Linked DNA regions of Mus musculus: regions 2, 3 and 4 are each reported to be linked to region 1. The links are microRNA targets in miRTarBase. Many come from high-throughput screens and were not tested one by one. Region 1 holds a microRNA gene; each other region holds the end of a gene's coding sequence.
What was found. The annotated mature microRNA mmu-miR-9-5p reads UCUUUGGUUAUCUAGCUGUAUGA and lies in region 1 at 1,887-1,909, shown strand. An mRNA with a match to its seed (bases 2 to 7 or 8) in the 3' UTR can be bound and repressed. Matches are read on the target gene's strand: a 7mer-m8 pairs with bases 2 to 8, a 7mer-A1 pairs with bases 2 to 7 and ends in A, and an 8mer does both.

Region 2: miRTarBase lists Cd151 as a target of mmu-miR-9-5p. Seed matches in the 3' UTR shown: 7mer-m8 at 3,111-3,117.
Region 3: miRTarBase lists Disp2 as a target of mmu-miR-9-5p. The part of its 3' UTR that is shown has no 7-base or 8-base seed match.
Region 4: miRTarBase lists Sestd1 as a target of mmu-miR-9-5p. The part of its 3' UTR that is shown has no 7-base or 8-base seed match.

The regions. Positions count from the first base shown.
Region 1 is chr3:88,213,727-88,217,798 of GRCm38, forward strand. Mir9-1 (microRNA 9-1) reads left to right here and starts at 1,872; the gene lies at 1,872-1,960. The region is part of intron 2 of Gm3764 (predicted gene 3764); the gene reads left to right. Mir3093 (microRNA 3093) reads left to right here and starts at 1,445; the gene lies at 1,445-1,531. Gm25641 (predicted gene, 25641) reads right to left here and starts at 1,944; the gene lies at 1,887-1,944.
Region 2 is chr7:141,469,957-141,474,028 of GRCm38, reverse strand. Cd151 (CD151 antigen) reads right to left here. Exons shown (of 8, transcript NM_001111049.1): 5 at 4,018-4,072; 6 at 3,804-3,908; 7 at 3,561-3,719; 8 at 2,548-3,478. The coding sequence ends at 3,332. It overlaps Polr2l (polymerase (RNA) II (DNA directed) polypeptide L), which reads left to right. Exons shown (of 2, transcript NM_025593.1): 2 at 625-2,169. The coding sequence ends at 733. Among named protein-coding and RNA genes, the nearest start is that of Polr2l, 3.2 kb to the left of the region's middle.
Region 3 is chr2:118,792,541-118,795,540 of GRCm38, forward strand. It overlaps Disp2 (dispatched RND tramsporter family member 2), which reads left to right. Exons shown (of 8, transcript NM_170593.3): 8 at 1-2,635. The coding sequence ends at 286. Among named protein-coding and RNA genes, the nearest start is that of Gm38629, 4.7 kb to the right of the region's middle.
Region 4 is chr2:77,184,033-77,188,104 of GRCm38, forward strand. Sestd1 (SEC14 and spectrin domains 1) reads right to left here. Exons shown (of 18, transcript NM_175465.6): 18 at 1-3,228. The coding sequence ends at 3,099. Among named protein-coding and RNA genes, the nearest start is that of Ccdc141, 15 kb to the left of the region's middle.

The sequences.
Region 1 (4,072 bases):
AGGACTTGGCCAAATTCTGAGTCTCAAAAGCAGCTAGGATTCTGTGGTTATCTGCAGATAGGGTCAAGGAACATTCCCCTGAAATGCAGAAAAGAGGGCCCCCTTTGCTCGCCCATTGTCTCATAGCAGGAGACTCAAACTGCACAGTCTTCCCTTCAGTGAGGGTTTGAGTTGAAAACCTTGAACAAAAGAGACCCTTGCCTCTCCTAAATATTAGGATCACAGTTTGGGAGGAATTAGAACTCAAAAAGACTCTAACGGTGGGGTGAGGTGGGAGGGGGTCAGAGATAGAGTCTCCAGTCCGCATCCCTGCCTCAACCTCCTGGTGCTGAGATTACAGATCTCTTCTCTTTGAGGGAATTTTGCCCTATTTATTTTCTATTTTTGCGTGCTGGTCTTGGTGCAATGTACCGTAGAGCCCAAAAGGAAAATGTAAGATCGACAAGAAGAGCGAAGGTGGCCATCAGAACCGCAATTGGCAATGGATTATAGACGTGGCAGGCGGGTTGTAGATGAGGCAGCAAAAGACTAAGGATTGGCATAAAGACATTGGATCCCATTCTCTGGGGGAGGGGCACCCCAATTGCACGTCTTGGACTGGCCTGGGGAGGGAGGGGGTCGGGCATGGAAAGGCTGGGGGGGAGGGGGGGAAGAAACGAGACAGTGACGTCAGACCAGGTATAGCCAATCAGGGGCTGACCTGAGGAAGGAGTGTGAAGGGATGAATGAAAAGTCCGGAGCCTGAGAGCGCCCCCGCCAGAGCAGCGGCCAAGGCTGAGGAGAGAGCTGGGACTCGAGACCCTGCTCCACCCTGCTGGCTCTCGCTCGGCCCCATTACCTGGCAAGCCCCGGCATCCTTGACCCACGTCCGTGGCGCTGCCTGGGTAGGAACGCGCCTGAAGACCGCGCAGGACACTACCACTGGGCATCCTGGGTTTGATGTAAGTGGCCTGACCCGCGTGGGGCACGAGGTGGGGAAAGCGCCTCAGAGTCCAGCGCGCGCGTCCGCCACCTGCGACCACGGAGCTCTACACCCTCTGCACGGTCCCTGGACCTCCTTCCAGTGGGTTCAGTCCAGATAGCCCCCTCCAGCCACTAAGGGCATCTCTCACTCAGACCCCCAGTGGCATATTTCACATCTCTGAATGATTTCGGCTGCGTTTTGCACAAAACCGGCTCCCGCGCGGTTCCGTAGGTCCAGGGCTCGGAGCACCTGCCTGGTCACCCTTTGCCCTAACCCGCAGCCCCACGTCCTGACTGCTCGCCCGATTCTCTCTGGGTGGGGTCTTTGCCCTTGGGAGAGTCGCTGGGGAGTCTCTAGATCACCCTCCACCCCGCCGCCAGCCACAGGCTTCCCTCTGGGCCTCGGGGTTCCCCAGTGCTGGGGTTCCCGTCCGGGGCTTCGCGGCCGCTCCCCTGCAGTCGGTAGCTCGGAGCAGCTCTGCGAGCTCGGCTCTGCCGCACCCCGCGGAGCTCACACTCGACCTTCCAGAGAAGGGTGTGGACACCGTGGGAGGTTGGGGAGGCCTCGGCCTAGGCTTCTGCGGTCTTCCCGGATGGCACGAAGGCCCTGGAGCCTTTCCACTAGCACCGGCGGAACCCTGCTTCTGCACGGAGGAGGGAGTGGGAAATGGGCGGTCAGGCTTGGGGCCGCTTGGTTTCAGCCTAGATTCCCGACCTCAGAACCGTCGGCGGTAGCATCTTTTCCTCGCCTTTCTGAGGTCTCGTCGTGATAGTGCGTGAGGTCCTGGATCCCATCTTTTCGCCTCCACACCACGCGCGTCCCCCATCCGCCGTCGAGCGACTCGAGACTACGGAGGTCCAGGCGGTGGCCGGGAGGCTGCGTGGAAGAGGAGGAGGCGGCCAGGAGGCGGGGTTGGTTGTTATCTTTGGTTATCTAGCTGTATGAGTGGTGTGGAGTCTTCATAAAGCTAGATAACCGAAAGTAAAAATAACCCCATACACTGCGCAGAGGGCCTGGAACGCTGGTAGTGGCCGAGCTGCAGGAGGGAGAGCCGTGCCAGGCGTGCCTGGAGGCTGGAGGGCTGGGGGGAGGGGGACTCGTCGCCTTCAAAGGTTGCTCAGCCCGAGCCACCTCGCGATCCCCACCCGCAACCTGCTCACCTGGGAAGAAAGCAAGAAGCCGCTCTGGGGTCGCCTCTGGAGGCCTGGTCAAAATGGAGCAGTCTGGGCCTCAGTCCGGAGAAGCCGCTCCCGGGAGAGACAGAGCCCTTGGCTGAAGGGTTGGGGGGAAAGTGCAAGCATCCCTCTCCCGGTCTCGACGCATCCCGGGAGCGGGTGGCTGGTGTGAGCAGCTTCCCTCTGGCTCTTCGAAGCGACTGGTGGAGTTCGAGGTTCGTAGGATGTCTCTAGAAAGCTGGTTTTTGCTTTGGTGGTTTCCCTGAAGCCCTTCAGCTTTACTGGGAGTCAAGATTGCCCAGGTGGGAACAGGTCTAGGAGCGGGGAAGGCTTAAAAACCAACACACACATCGAACTTATTAGGGAGAATGGCGATGCAGAAACAAAGTAACCACAAGGGCAAGGGCCAGAGTGGCCAGAGACCTTTTTACCCCACAGGAATTCTGGGACCCTGGGGCGCAGGTTCTTTGCTTTCACTTTGGCCTTCAGGACCAGAGCTAAGTCTAACTGAACTCTCTCTGGCTGCTTTGTCATTAGTGGCTAAAGGTGTAGAGTTGGGGTGGGGGGCTTTAGAGCATCCCACCTTTCGGTCCTAACCTCACTCTTGGAAATCGTGTCCCAAAGGAACAAATGGCCTCAAGGAGCTCTGTGGAGCTCAAACACAAAGGAATGTGTAGCTGTGCTGCCCAGAGAACGCAAAGAATTAGAGAGATTAATTTGGGCTCCTGTAAAAAGAATCTATTTATCTTGCCTGACCTAAATATTTTAGTGAAAGAGGGTTTCTACAGCTGAGAAGATGGTCTAACAAACATGGCCAGAGCTAGGAATCCCCTCTGCTCTCATGGCCCTCAGCCGAACTTGACCAGCTGGCACTTGGAGACCTGGGCTGTACCGACTAATAAGAGGCAGAAAACTGGGCAAAATGTCATCACCCAGACTCCGCTGGTTCTTATAAATTTAAAATTTCCTCCCGGGACCTGATTTTACAGTTAGAAGATAATGATTCAATTTTGTATTACATGGGGGGAAATATTAGAGAATCCAAATTCAAATTCTGGGACTTCAGGGAATCTATTGCCTGTGTGTGTCTTCTTTAGCAGTTAGGGGAGGGAGAGTCGAGTGGCCTCTTAAATTCCAGAAGCTTGGAATTTGTTTTGTTTTGGTAGGGGTGGTGGGGATGAAGCTTAAGTCAAGGAGAAAAGAGGCTGGGTCTAGGCTGGAACTAATGGTCTGGCCACAGCCTGTTTTCTTTTTCCGCTGCTTGAGAGATGCCATGTGATCCCATGTTACACAGGCACAAGTGAGCAGCTGACATTACTCACTGGCTTGACACTCAAAGCTCCTTCCATTTACTCTGTCTTGGAGAAAGTGACACTCCCCACCCCAAGGGAGCCAACTGGGAAAGTAGAAAGAAGGGAAGCCTCTCTGTTATTGGGAATTTGCATGGGCAGAGGAGGGGCATCAATAAAATAAGCTTCCTTATCATTACCATCTTTAATGTTTCCTGTATAGTGTCTTCACTGTAAATTCCAGGACAGCCAGGGCTACACAGCCCTCTATCATAGCACAGGCCTATAATCTGAGCAGTTGCAAAGTAGAGGACGAAGGATCAAGAATTCAAAGTCATCCTTGTCTACACAGCAAGTTCTTGGGCATCCTAGAGTCCCCCTAAACACACACACACACACACACACACACACACACACACACACACACACACACCACATATTCCCAGGAACACTTAGAGTCTCAGTTGCTAACCACAGTAGTTTTATATTATTGTTTCCCATGAGCACATTGGATCACAGGCTCTTCAAAAGAGAGTAGAAGGCTTTAGGAAAAGGAGGAATAGAGGCTAGGAGGTTAGGCTGCTAAGGGTTCATGTCTTCTTTAGATGCACACTGACTGTGTATGTGTACGGTACTCAGCAGGG
Region 2 (4,072 bases), not on the chromosome of region 1:
TTTTTCAAGACAGGGTTTCTCTGTGTAGCCCTGGCTGTCCTGAAACTCACTTTGTAGCTCAGGCCGGCCTCGAACTCAGAAATTCACCTGCCTCTGCCTCTACCTCCCAAGTGCTTGGGATTAAAGGTGTGCACCACCACACCCAGCTAGATGGCTCAACTGTTAAGAGCACTGGCTGTTTTGTGTGTTTGGTTGTTTGATTGTTTTTTAAGAGGACTCAGGTTCCGTTCCTTGAAGCAACATGGTATCTCGCAAGTGTCCGTAACTCCTTTGGGCTTTGGGAGCATCAGGCACCCATACACATAAAACGAAATTTTAAAAAACAGGTGTAGGCAGAAGGCTGTTAAGGATGGATACAGGATGCTATGGGAGAAGACTGGCACATGAGCAGGTGTAACTTCTAGGTGGGGAAAGGGTCACCTGGCTCCTCCCTGAGCATCTAGATACATATTTCAGAAATCTCCAGGCCATTTCCCTATGGCCTGGTGTCAGGTTTCAATCGCTGATTATGTAGATGTGCTCTGGTAACCCCTATCCACACGAATACCCAGAGGCAAGCTGGAGGTGGTTCCAAACCTATCCAGACTCTAGAGACCACATCCAGCCTCACTCTTCTCTTTACAGGGATGCCCTGGACGCTCTGGGCCTAAAGCGCTACTGCTGCCGCCGCATGCTGCTAGCACACGTGGACCTGATTGAGAAGCTGCTGAACTATGCACCCCTAGAGAAGTGACCGCTGGAGCCTGCCCTCCTCTGTCTCCTGCTGGCCACGGGCAGCCTGTCGTGCTATGTTCAAACTGAGCTATTGGGGATGTTGGTGTATTGCCTGGCTGTGGCCCTGTGGCTAAGTCCTGTTACCCTGGAAGGAACTGTTTAGTAAAGATGTTTGCAGAACCACCAACAGGTCTAACTTCCAAGGTGCTCCATGTCCATGTCTGTGCTGTCTCTGAGGCTACCTGGCCTGCCTCCAGTCTTTCCCCTAGGGCTGGTCTCCTTCCCCTTCATCTGACTGGGAGTCTCGTCCTGTGGAGGAGTACCCTGCTTCCGTTCCCCGGGGCCTTGACCACTTTGATCAACGAGGTAGCCCTACAGTAGTCTTGTACCACATTGCTTTAGGGCCTCTCCGCTTCCTGCCTGTGTTCAGGATGGGCATAATGGATGTGGGCACCACACCATCCACAGGTATGGATGGGCCCAAGCCTGGTGACAATATTCCTTTGGAATGCTGAGCGTGCTTGGAGGTCCCAATCCTTGTGCTAGGGTTATTATGCATTTGGGTATTTGGTCTGCTTATAAGTCTTTGTATCACTGTGTCCCCACAGAGGCCAGATCCCCTGAGAGTAAAGTTATAGAATGTATAAGCTGCCATCAGGTATTGGGAATCAAACCCAGATTTATTTACCTTTCATTTTCCAAGACAGGGTTTCTCTGTTTGGCCTTGACTATCCTGGAATTCAACTCTGCAGACCAGGCTGGCCTTGAACTAAAGAGATCAGTCTCTGCCTCCCGAGTGTTGAGTTTAAAGGACGGCTTGTGCCACCCAACCAAACCCAGATACTGTAGGAGTACGCCCAAGGCCACAGGCCTCACGAATTTCTTGGGTCCTAAAGCCCATCAGCTGTGTGAGCCTATCTGCTGCCCATGCCTGAGGATCTTGTTTCCAGAATCTTCCCAGGCCCGACAGCTAGGCAGCCCTGCCCCTTGACCCAATCCCCACAGCATGTAGTCCTAAGAAGCCTACTCTAGGCCAAAGGAGGTGGTGTAGTGCTTTAGCTCCTAGGCATCTGCATCAAGTACCCCGGGTTCTTTCTAGCACATTGATCCCTTTGAGAATTTTGGTGGGTTTTTTTGTTTTGTTTTTTGAGACCAGCTTTGGCTGGTTTGAAACTCACAACAGTCAGCCTGCCTTTACCTCTTGGATTCTGGGATTAAAGGTGTGTGTGGCATAGCATACCCACCCTACCCCACCCCTGGTTTTTTGTTGTTTTAAAGAAAAAGGCGGGCTGGTGAGATGGCTCAGTGGGTAAGAGCACCCAACTGCTCTTCCAAAGGTCCAGAGTTCAAATCCCAGCAACCACATGGTGGCTCACAACCATCCGCAACAAGATCCTCTTCTGGAGTGTCTGAAGACAGCAACAGTGTACTTACATATATTAATAAATAAATCTTTAAAAAAAAAAAAAAAAGAAAAAGGCTTTGCCTTAGGCTAGAGTCCAGAGAACCCATAGTGGCCTCCTCCAGCTGGCACAGAAGACTGTGGGGAACAAAATCAGCTTAGGACCTCTTCTCAGCTGCTTAGATGAGCTAAAGCCAGAGAAACAGGAGCCAGGGCATCCCCAACAGGCCCTGGTGCCTCCCTTGCCCTCTGACCCTAGCAAGGCCTACAGACTCTTCCTTGAGCATGGACAAGTCCAGGCCACAGTGGGCTGGGGGGATGTTCCAGCTACCAGTGCTCACCCTAACTGTAATTGCCATTGGGCTTCACCAACCTTGACTCTTGTGAGTACTCCAGCTACCCTGGACCATAAGGTCCTGTCAGCAAGCTGATTCGAGTGCTTATACATTTACATTTATTGAGCACCTGTTACATAGCAGGAGCATTTGTGGGCAGCATCTGGAATACAGCAGTGAGATGAAAACAGCCATGCTCCATTCAGAGATGCTCCAAAAGGAGACAGTGTACAGGAACATGGAGCATTTACATGATGCTATCAGTAGTGAGAAAAGGCCAGGGCTGAGCTGTTAGGAGCAAGAGGCCTGTGTGGAGAGGACAGAGCATCAAGTGTGGGGTTGGAGTTTCCCTCAGCTTACACCATTTGTTTGGGGCAAGCAGATCTGAGAGTTCCTGGTAGCAGGCATGAAGGGTGCCTAATCCAACCAGAAAGGCCCCACCTGCTTTTACCCAACGTGTAGTGGTGTACTCAGGTTCTCCCCAGACTTACTGCAGATCACAGCTACCCAAAGGGAAGCAGTCTGCATAAGAGGCACTTCTGTCAAATAATCTAAACCCTATTCTACTAGCCAGGCCTAGCCCAACACTGGCATTTGAACCCCCCACCCCCCCCCCCCTTCTTAATGCTGGGGCAAGTACGCTGCTTCGAGCTTTGGGACTTTGGTGTGCAGTGAAAGGCACTTGAAGGTGCATGCCCCTGAGGTGGCATGCCAGGGGGGGTCATGGCGATGGCATGAGGGTAGCTACCTCTGGCAGTCAGCAGTCTAAGTCAGTAGTGTTCAGTAGTGGGGCTGGGACATAGTGCAAGGCTGGCCGCCCAGCCTGGCATCATCGTGGTCAGTAGTGCAAGGCTGGCCGCCCGGCCTGACATCATCGTGGTCAGTAGTGTTCCAGCTTGAGGCTTCGGTACAAGCAGCAGGTGAAGATCATGCCGAAGACCTGCACACAGGCGATGCCAATGCCCACCGCCCCAATGACCCGCAGGTGCTCCTGAATGAAGGTCTCCAGCTTAGTGATACAGCCACCCTAGTGGGAGAGAAGGGTGGTGGGCCAGGCTGCCTGAAGACCAGTCCGGCCTAGCCCCGCCCCTTGCTGAGAACCCACCTACCTCCACTTTATAGATGTTGGAGGCATGGTCCCGCTTACCACAGCCAGCTACCATAGTCTTACAGCAGCTGTCAGGAACCACGCGGCTGTCTGCCTCACCAGAGCGGATCCACTCGCTGTCTTGCCAGTCTTGAGAGTTGTTGCTGCCACAACAGTGGAACTACAAGGGGCACATGGCTGAGCCTCAGCGCTTGCCGGCACACGGCACCATGCCGAGAGGGCGGGCAGTTCTAGGGGCACCCACCTCTTGCTGCAGCTTGTCGACAGCGCTGCTCACACCCTCGTGGCCTGACTGGTGGTATCTCTTGACCATGGTGTCCTTCAGATTCTCCTTGAGCTCTGTGTTCAGCTGTGGGTAGGATCAAACTCTGGGCAAAGGCAAAGCTGGAGCCAGGACCTCCAATGGGACTGACAGGGCCATGTTCTAGGCACACCCCATGGCCTGTCCAGGCCCTTACCTGCTGATAATAGACATAGGCCAGGATGCCAGCAATGATCTCCAGGAGGAAGATG
Region 3 (3,000 bases), not on the chromosome of region 1:
CCGTGTGCCAGATTCTGTGGGTACCTCCCCAGAAGTCATGAATGGCACTGGACACCCCATACTTGAGCGGGGCCAGCTGAATGGGAAGCGCGACACCCTCTGGCTAGCACTGAAGGAGACCATCTATGACCCAAACATGCCCAATTCTCACCACAGCAGCTTATCCTGGAAGGGCCGTGGAGGGCCAGGCGATATCAGCCCTGTGATGCTTCCCAACAGTCAGCCAGATCTCCCAGATGTTTGGCTCCGTAGGCCCAGCACCTACACCTCTGGCTACAGCAGCTGAGAGAGGCCAAGGAAGGCCAGACCAGGGTCCACAACCCTGTTGGTGAAGATAAGGCAGATGCCACACTAGCCTAGAGCCTGAAGGTATTTCTCCCTATTGACATGATGTCTTACCCTCCAAGTATGGATTCTAAACCCTGCCAGATGTTCTAGCCTTGATCTCTTTGCTACTTACCCCTGCATCTGGAGGATTCAGTGGGAGGGCCTTGCAAGGTAATACCAGGCTCTCCCTGTGACCAACTAAGGACTCATCTGTCCCCACAGTGCCAACAAGGACCCCTACTCTGGAAAGGAGGGAGGCCAGATGTGCAGTTCCAGGTATTGGGGAGGCTGATCAGCTGTCTCCCGGGTGACAAGAAGTTCAGTGACGCTAAGGTACTCCATCTTTGGGATCCAGTTGGAGTATCTCACTGACTAGAAAAACCCTTAAGAACCTCCACAGCCTATTGAATCTCATCCCTTCTCATTGGCTCTTAATCGGGACACTTCAGTTCTTGGGAAGCTTCTCTGGGCTGGAAGTGAACACGGGCCTCTGTCCTGCACTGTCCTGTTCTGCTCACACTCACCAGTGTGACTAGAAGCTCTCCAAAAGCAGGACAGAGGTGGATGACAAGAGAGAAGCAGGAGACAGGAAGGTCGGCTTTGGAGTATCCCTAAATTCCAAGATTCCCCCATAGGACGCTGACTCCAGAATGTTCCCCTGTAAGTGAGCAGTAGTTACCCCTTACCATTGCCACACCTGCCAGTCTTCTTGGACCTTTGCAAAGTTACTCCACAGTGGCCTGCAGTTGGTCAAGACACTGAGAATGGTTGATTGATTGTCCCCCAAAGTCATGTCACTGGGTAGCAGCAGGATTCTCTCCTGACTCATGCTGCCACTATAGCTCCCTGTCTCCTCCTGAGTGTGAGCTTCAGGGCCCTGGGCCCCTGGCTGTCTTGGTCCTTTGCTTCTGGCAGTTACCCAGTCTCTTTGCTTGAGCCTCTCTTTGTGAGCCCTCCCTCCCCTTGGGGCCTCCACCTCCAGAAAGAGTTGTAGTCTGAGTAGACCGGAGAGTTCCTCATTTCCTTTGAGTTTCCCCGCTCTGAAACTCTCTGAGATGCCTACTAGCCATGGGCCTACCGGGTCACAGGCAGCCGAGCTGAAGCTTAGGCTTCAAGGATGTGCCTCTTTCATGGCTGAGGAGTACAGACAGGCTTTGCCAGAAGAGGTACGAAGGGACAGAAGAATGTGAACAGAATCTAGTTAAGACAAGAACACAAAGTTGCTCTTGTGGAGTTGTCCAGGACCCTGAAGTCTAGGTATCAGGTCCTCAGTTTCTGAAGACTAGGCCTCCCAGTAAGGTTGCTTGACGGTGTCACTGATCAGTGGCAGAGTGCTCTCCTGACTCATCCTGCCACTATGGCTCCCTGTCTCCTCCTGACCAACTGCCTGCTTCAGGGCCATTAGCTTTCTCCACCCAAAGCACTCATGTGACACAGCTCAAGACACCAGGCACCATCTGCAAGTTTACTGAACACCTGCATTGGAAAGGGTGTTGTAAGGGAGAGAGACATGGAACGGAGAACTGGCCTCCTGCTGGGAAGCAGGCATTAGTGGGTCAGGGTTACTGCCGAGCTCAGGTGCCCAGCAATAGGTGACCGGGAAGATCTCGTGGAGAGGGATGGGTTTGAGCTGGGCTTCAGAAGATCAAGCAGATCAGACAGGAGGGAGCTTGGTGATCCAACTCCAAGGGTCCCCTAAGGACTGTTCTTTCAATAAGCTCCTGTGTCTAAAACTCCTGCTCCGAGGGGTGTGAGTTTAGGGGTGCTGCTAGCTCAGCTTCCCTTTCTAGTGCAGATCTCCAGGGGTCTCCAGGTCCCTGGGAATATCCATAGATCTTGGCATGAAGACCACCAATCTAGGCCATTTTATATAGGAGTATCAGAAAGGAGTTTTCCAGTGCCAAACAATCTAAGGCAAGGCTAGAGGCAAGCCAGAGGACACTTTTGTTTTATTTTGTTGAGTTCCTGTGTTATTGAGACCTATCTCCCACCCCAAGTAGCCCAGGACAAGTGGAGCAGAAACTCAGATGAGAACATAAGAATGTGGGAAAGACAGAAGACAGTTTTCCCTCAGTATCCATGGAGAACTGGTTCCAGCACACCCCGCACCTTCCAGCATACTAAAATCTGAGGATGCTCAAGTCCCTCGTGTAGAATGGTGTAGTATTTGCATATAATGATGCATATTCTCCTATATTTAAATCGTCTCTAGAGTACTTATAATGCCTAATATGATGTAAATGCTATGTCAGTCCTTACACCGTGTTGTTGTAATAATGACAAGAAAAATAATATGTGTGTGGTGAGTTTTTGTTTCTTTCTTTTATTTTTTTTCTGTTTCAATGTATTCAGGTTGGGTGTGGTTTACACACACACACACACACACACACACACACACCGAATATTCTGGGTCTGTGTGGCTGGTAAGGCCACAGAGAGGGCTGTGTAAGCCAATTCCTTATCAGGTAACTAATTTGATAAATGTCTCCTGATCAAGGAGGGCTCCGTTCGTGTACCTGTAGTGTCAGCTATGTGGGAAGCTGAAGCTGGAGGATTGCTTGAGCCCAGAAGACCAAGTACAGCTTGGACAACATAGTAAGTCCATGTCTAAAAAGAGGAGGGAAAGAGAGAGAGAGAGAGAGAGAGAGAGAGAGAGAGAGAGAGAGAGAGAGA
Region 4 (4,072 bases), not on the chromosome of region 1:
CGGTGGGATGCATTCACCCAACCTTGCAATCATACCACAGCATGCAAAGGGGTTTAGAAGAGAAAATAAGATTTGCTTAGCAACCTGTCATGTTCTCACTGAGAATGGGTCACAATACTGACATCATACCACCTATCAACTGAGAATACTGCAGTGACGGACACATTCCGAGTAGATAACATCCACAAGCCACTTTCAATCCCAATGAAGTACGAGATCCAGCCCACTCTCCTGTACTGAATGGAAGCTAACAGGATGAGCTCTCACCAAGATCACTAATGACTCCCCTGTAAAATAAGGTCAGAACGATGAGAACTGGGAATGCAGCCAAACTGGTCTCAAAGGAAGTTATCGTCTTTGCATCACAGCTCTGCCGAGTCAGATACGTACTAAGAGAAGACATCAAATTGCCATTGTCTGCTGAGTTTACACAGGAACAAAGATAGGCACGGGCAAAAAAGAAAAAAAAAAAAAAAGCCAGACACAAAAGTTAGCTAGCTAATGTGTCAGTCAACCTCCAGAAGGGTTAAAATAATGCAGGGGGCTGCGGCATTGAACCAGTAAGAAGGAAGTATTTCTTTTTAATGACATTTTTAGGTCAATGTCAGTATTAATATAACAAAGGCCTGAGATTTCACACAAACCGAAGTCACCTCCTTCATATGTCCTCTAAGTGAACTGTGACCACATGAGGAAAGTCAGTTTGGGCATTGCTCGGTTTTTATTCATAACTCTTGTGTATCTATAAAGATAAACCCATGGAAAAGGGGTCCACATTTGCCAAAGAAGAGCGACTATGTCCATTCTGTGTATCTCGTTCCATTTAACTTTCAAGTCCGACATGGCATTTCCATGGTTTGTCTTATTCCACTTTTTGCAGGGAAGAGGGCTTAAGATATATGAAAATTAAATTGAAATTATGCATCCATGAGCTGATGGCATAATTACCAAGTCAAATAAAGATACTGATGATGCTGAAACTCAGTAAAAAGAGACTGATACTGAATATAAACAATATCTAAAAGTTCCACATCTAAGGATCTAAAACATCAGACACATTCCATGGACACAGATTTACAAGTCAGTTCTAACGCTAGGAAAAGCCAAACACTGTTTAAATAGACCTCAGACTGCAGTAGTGGAGAGATTATTACTAACGCTGACAAAGGAACACAGCTGTAGGACTGAGCATGTCACACATGAGCAAAGGTCTAGGCACAAGACATGTGGGACAAGAGTCACCCCCAAGAGGACTTTATGATGTAACAGGAAAAGTTAGCACCATCATGAAGACTGAAGAAAGAATCACAGGAGCTCCTATGCACAGGAGGCGAGCCCTGAAGAAGGGTTATCAAGTATAGAAAAGACTTCTGGATGGTCTCAGAGGCAGAGTAAGACATGGGGAACAGCTGAGGTTTGCCCTGGACATTGTTGGCACCATTAATCAAAACTACTCAGGAAGAAAAGGCAAGTAGGATATGCTTTCATTTAGGGGAGAGGACCGAGTCAGCTGAAAGCTATGCAATTGGGATCGGACGTGAAATGCAGGACTAGGGATGGGATGCCCAATGAGCAAGAGCTGAGGACAGCAGCACAGTGTGCATGTGCAACAGACCTAAACCATGCCCTCACATGGCAGGAGAGAGCACCACTGAGGGATGGAGCACTGTTAGGGAGAGACTAGAAACGGAGCGAAAGGAAGGTGACGTGTCAGAGAGCAAAAACATTCAATGCGGGACCCAGAAGACTATGGCCGTTTCCTGTAAAGTGAGGCGCAAAGCTGACTGAAAGGTGACACAGGGTGAGGGTGAGGATGATGAAATTCATCAAGGCTGGCAAAAAAGAAGGCTGGAGAAACTGGCTTGAACATAGGAAGGTACGTGATCGTCTTTACAGACCAGAAAAATAAACCTGCATACGATTCTTTGCATAATTTTGTACTGATAAGCCCAGTTATTTTCACCTTAAAATATATTCTAAAATTAAAATTAACACAATGTTAAAGTATATACATTTTATAACTTAATACAAACATAAAAGCATTACCATTTTATGACAAATTTTATTTCTAAAGATCTATACAGTTTTTGTGACTATACTTCAGGATGATTTTTTTGCCTCTAATACCATGAGATATTAAATATTATTAACAATTTCTGCTTTAGTTCCAGAGTGATTGCTGTGATATAAAAGATTACATTGAGTATGTATACCTTCATCTTTAGCCCTCCTTCCCCACAGACAAAGTGTCTTCAGGGGAGCTAATATTCTGGACACCATTTTTCAAGAGAAAAGTTTAAAATAGTATTCTATTATTATGTTCTTAATGGTCTAAATTATTCTTCACAATAAACATGCTTGTTTTTTATTATATACACATGCATACATATGAAATTCTTGCCTAAAATACATGCATCCACCATCACAAACAATGATTAACCCTCCTTACAATTCTAAGAATGCCCCGTTAGTAAGGCACTCGTGTTTAGAAGCAGGACGTAACTACCAAATTAAATAAGATGTTTAAAGAAGATTTTTATTAAGCACAAACAACTTTTAATACATTATGAATACAATAGGAAAATGTCTTTCAATGAATATGATATATCAAAGATCTGAAGGGTTTTCTTCATATAGACATTAAAAATAATCAATTTTGAAGAATTACAAAGTAAAATTTTGAGGACACCACTATTCACTAACAGTCTAACTATGGTCTAAATATCCTACATCACCTGGGGAGGAAGGGCAGCCATGTTTTATAGAGAATTCCTAAACTCTGATTAGCACCATTCAAAGCTTAGTATTGGTTGTTTGGCTACAAACTGACAAGTCAGGTACGGCGTGAAAGCGAGGACTCAGTGCGGTGGTTACAATTCCTTCTCTTAGGATACCAGGAGTCTACAGTCTCAAAGCATGTTGTGACTATGCCTTGGTGGTGGAGAAATGTTAGCATTTAGAGAGAGACACGTGTCGTGGGAAGAAAGGAGGCTTATCCCGCTGTGAAATGCATCTTAACGAGCTGTGGCTAACCCCAGAGAATGCCAGCAGCAAAGAATGTGGGCGTATGACCTGCAGATCTGCGGGAGCTGGGGACATTAGCTCTCCGTGGTCACCAATTCGGGATGTCTCAGCTGCTGCCTTTTGAGACTGACCAGTTTCATTCTGTCCCTGATGTGCTCTGCAGTAGAAGCCATGTCACTTGGACTTCCAAAATATTGTTCAGTTCTAAAATTAGAACACACAGAAATCACACAGGTTAATCCAAATTCATTTAACTGTACCAGGTGCATAAAAGCAGATGTTATAAAATATGACATGACCTTTGAGTTCAAACTAGTTCATCTGGGGCACAGTGACTTGTACCTATAAACCCGTTCTGCTGGGGTTGCTCTTTTGCTGCCGGTAAATCATATGACACTAAGCTACTTTGACAGTTCAAATCCAGGTATCCCTAGAGATTTTCTCAGTGTAGACTATGAATGATATTCTTCCAAGGGAATAAAGTGGTAATTTTTTTTTCAATATGAATTCTAAATACTCACTGGAAGTTCATGACATAGCAGTATGTCCCTTGTGTCTCATTTAAGTTCTGTCTATCTGTTTGGCTCTAGGAAGCCCCCACTGCTGTAACCTGAAAAACCACAATTATCCCACCTGCAGTTGCAGCTGCAGCTGCAGTCACTGCTGGGCGGTAAGAAAAGGAGCCAAGACTTGGGCCCTGGCTTCTATCTTTTCTTCCATCACACTTCCACAAAGCGAGAATACCTTACTTGTACCTGATGGCGTGGTTTCTCTATTGCTTCAATTACATTTCCTTTGCCCTACCTCTCAGTGACTCACTGACAAGGTCTGCATCTCCAGGCATGAAACTCTTGATTTTTTGCCTGGCTTACTTCACATTTGAAAATAAAATGCAGGGTGCAGACCAGGGCCTGGTAACTCTCCATATGAAAAGCCCAGGATGCCTTAGAGCCTGGGATAAGATGACAGGTTTGGAGATGGACGGACCTGAGACTGTATCCTAAGGCCAACACCTAGACACTGGGAACCCCCGGTCTCTAGATTAATC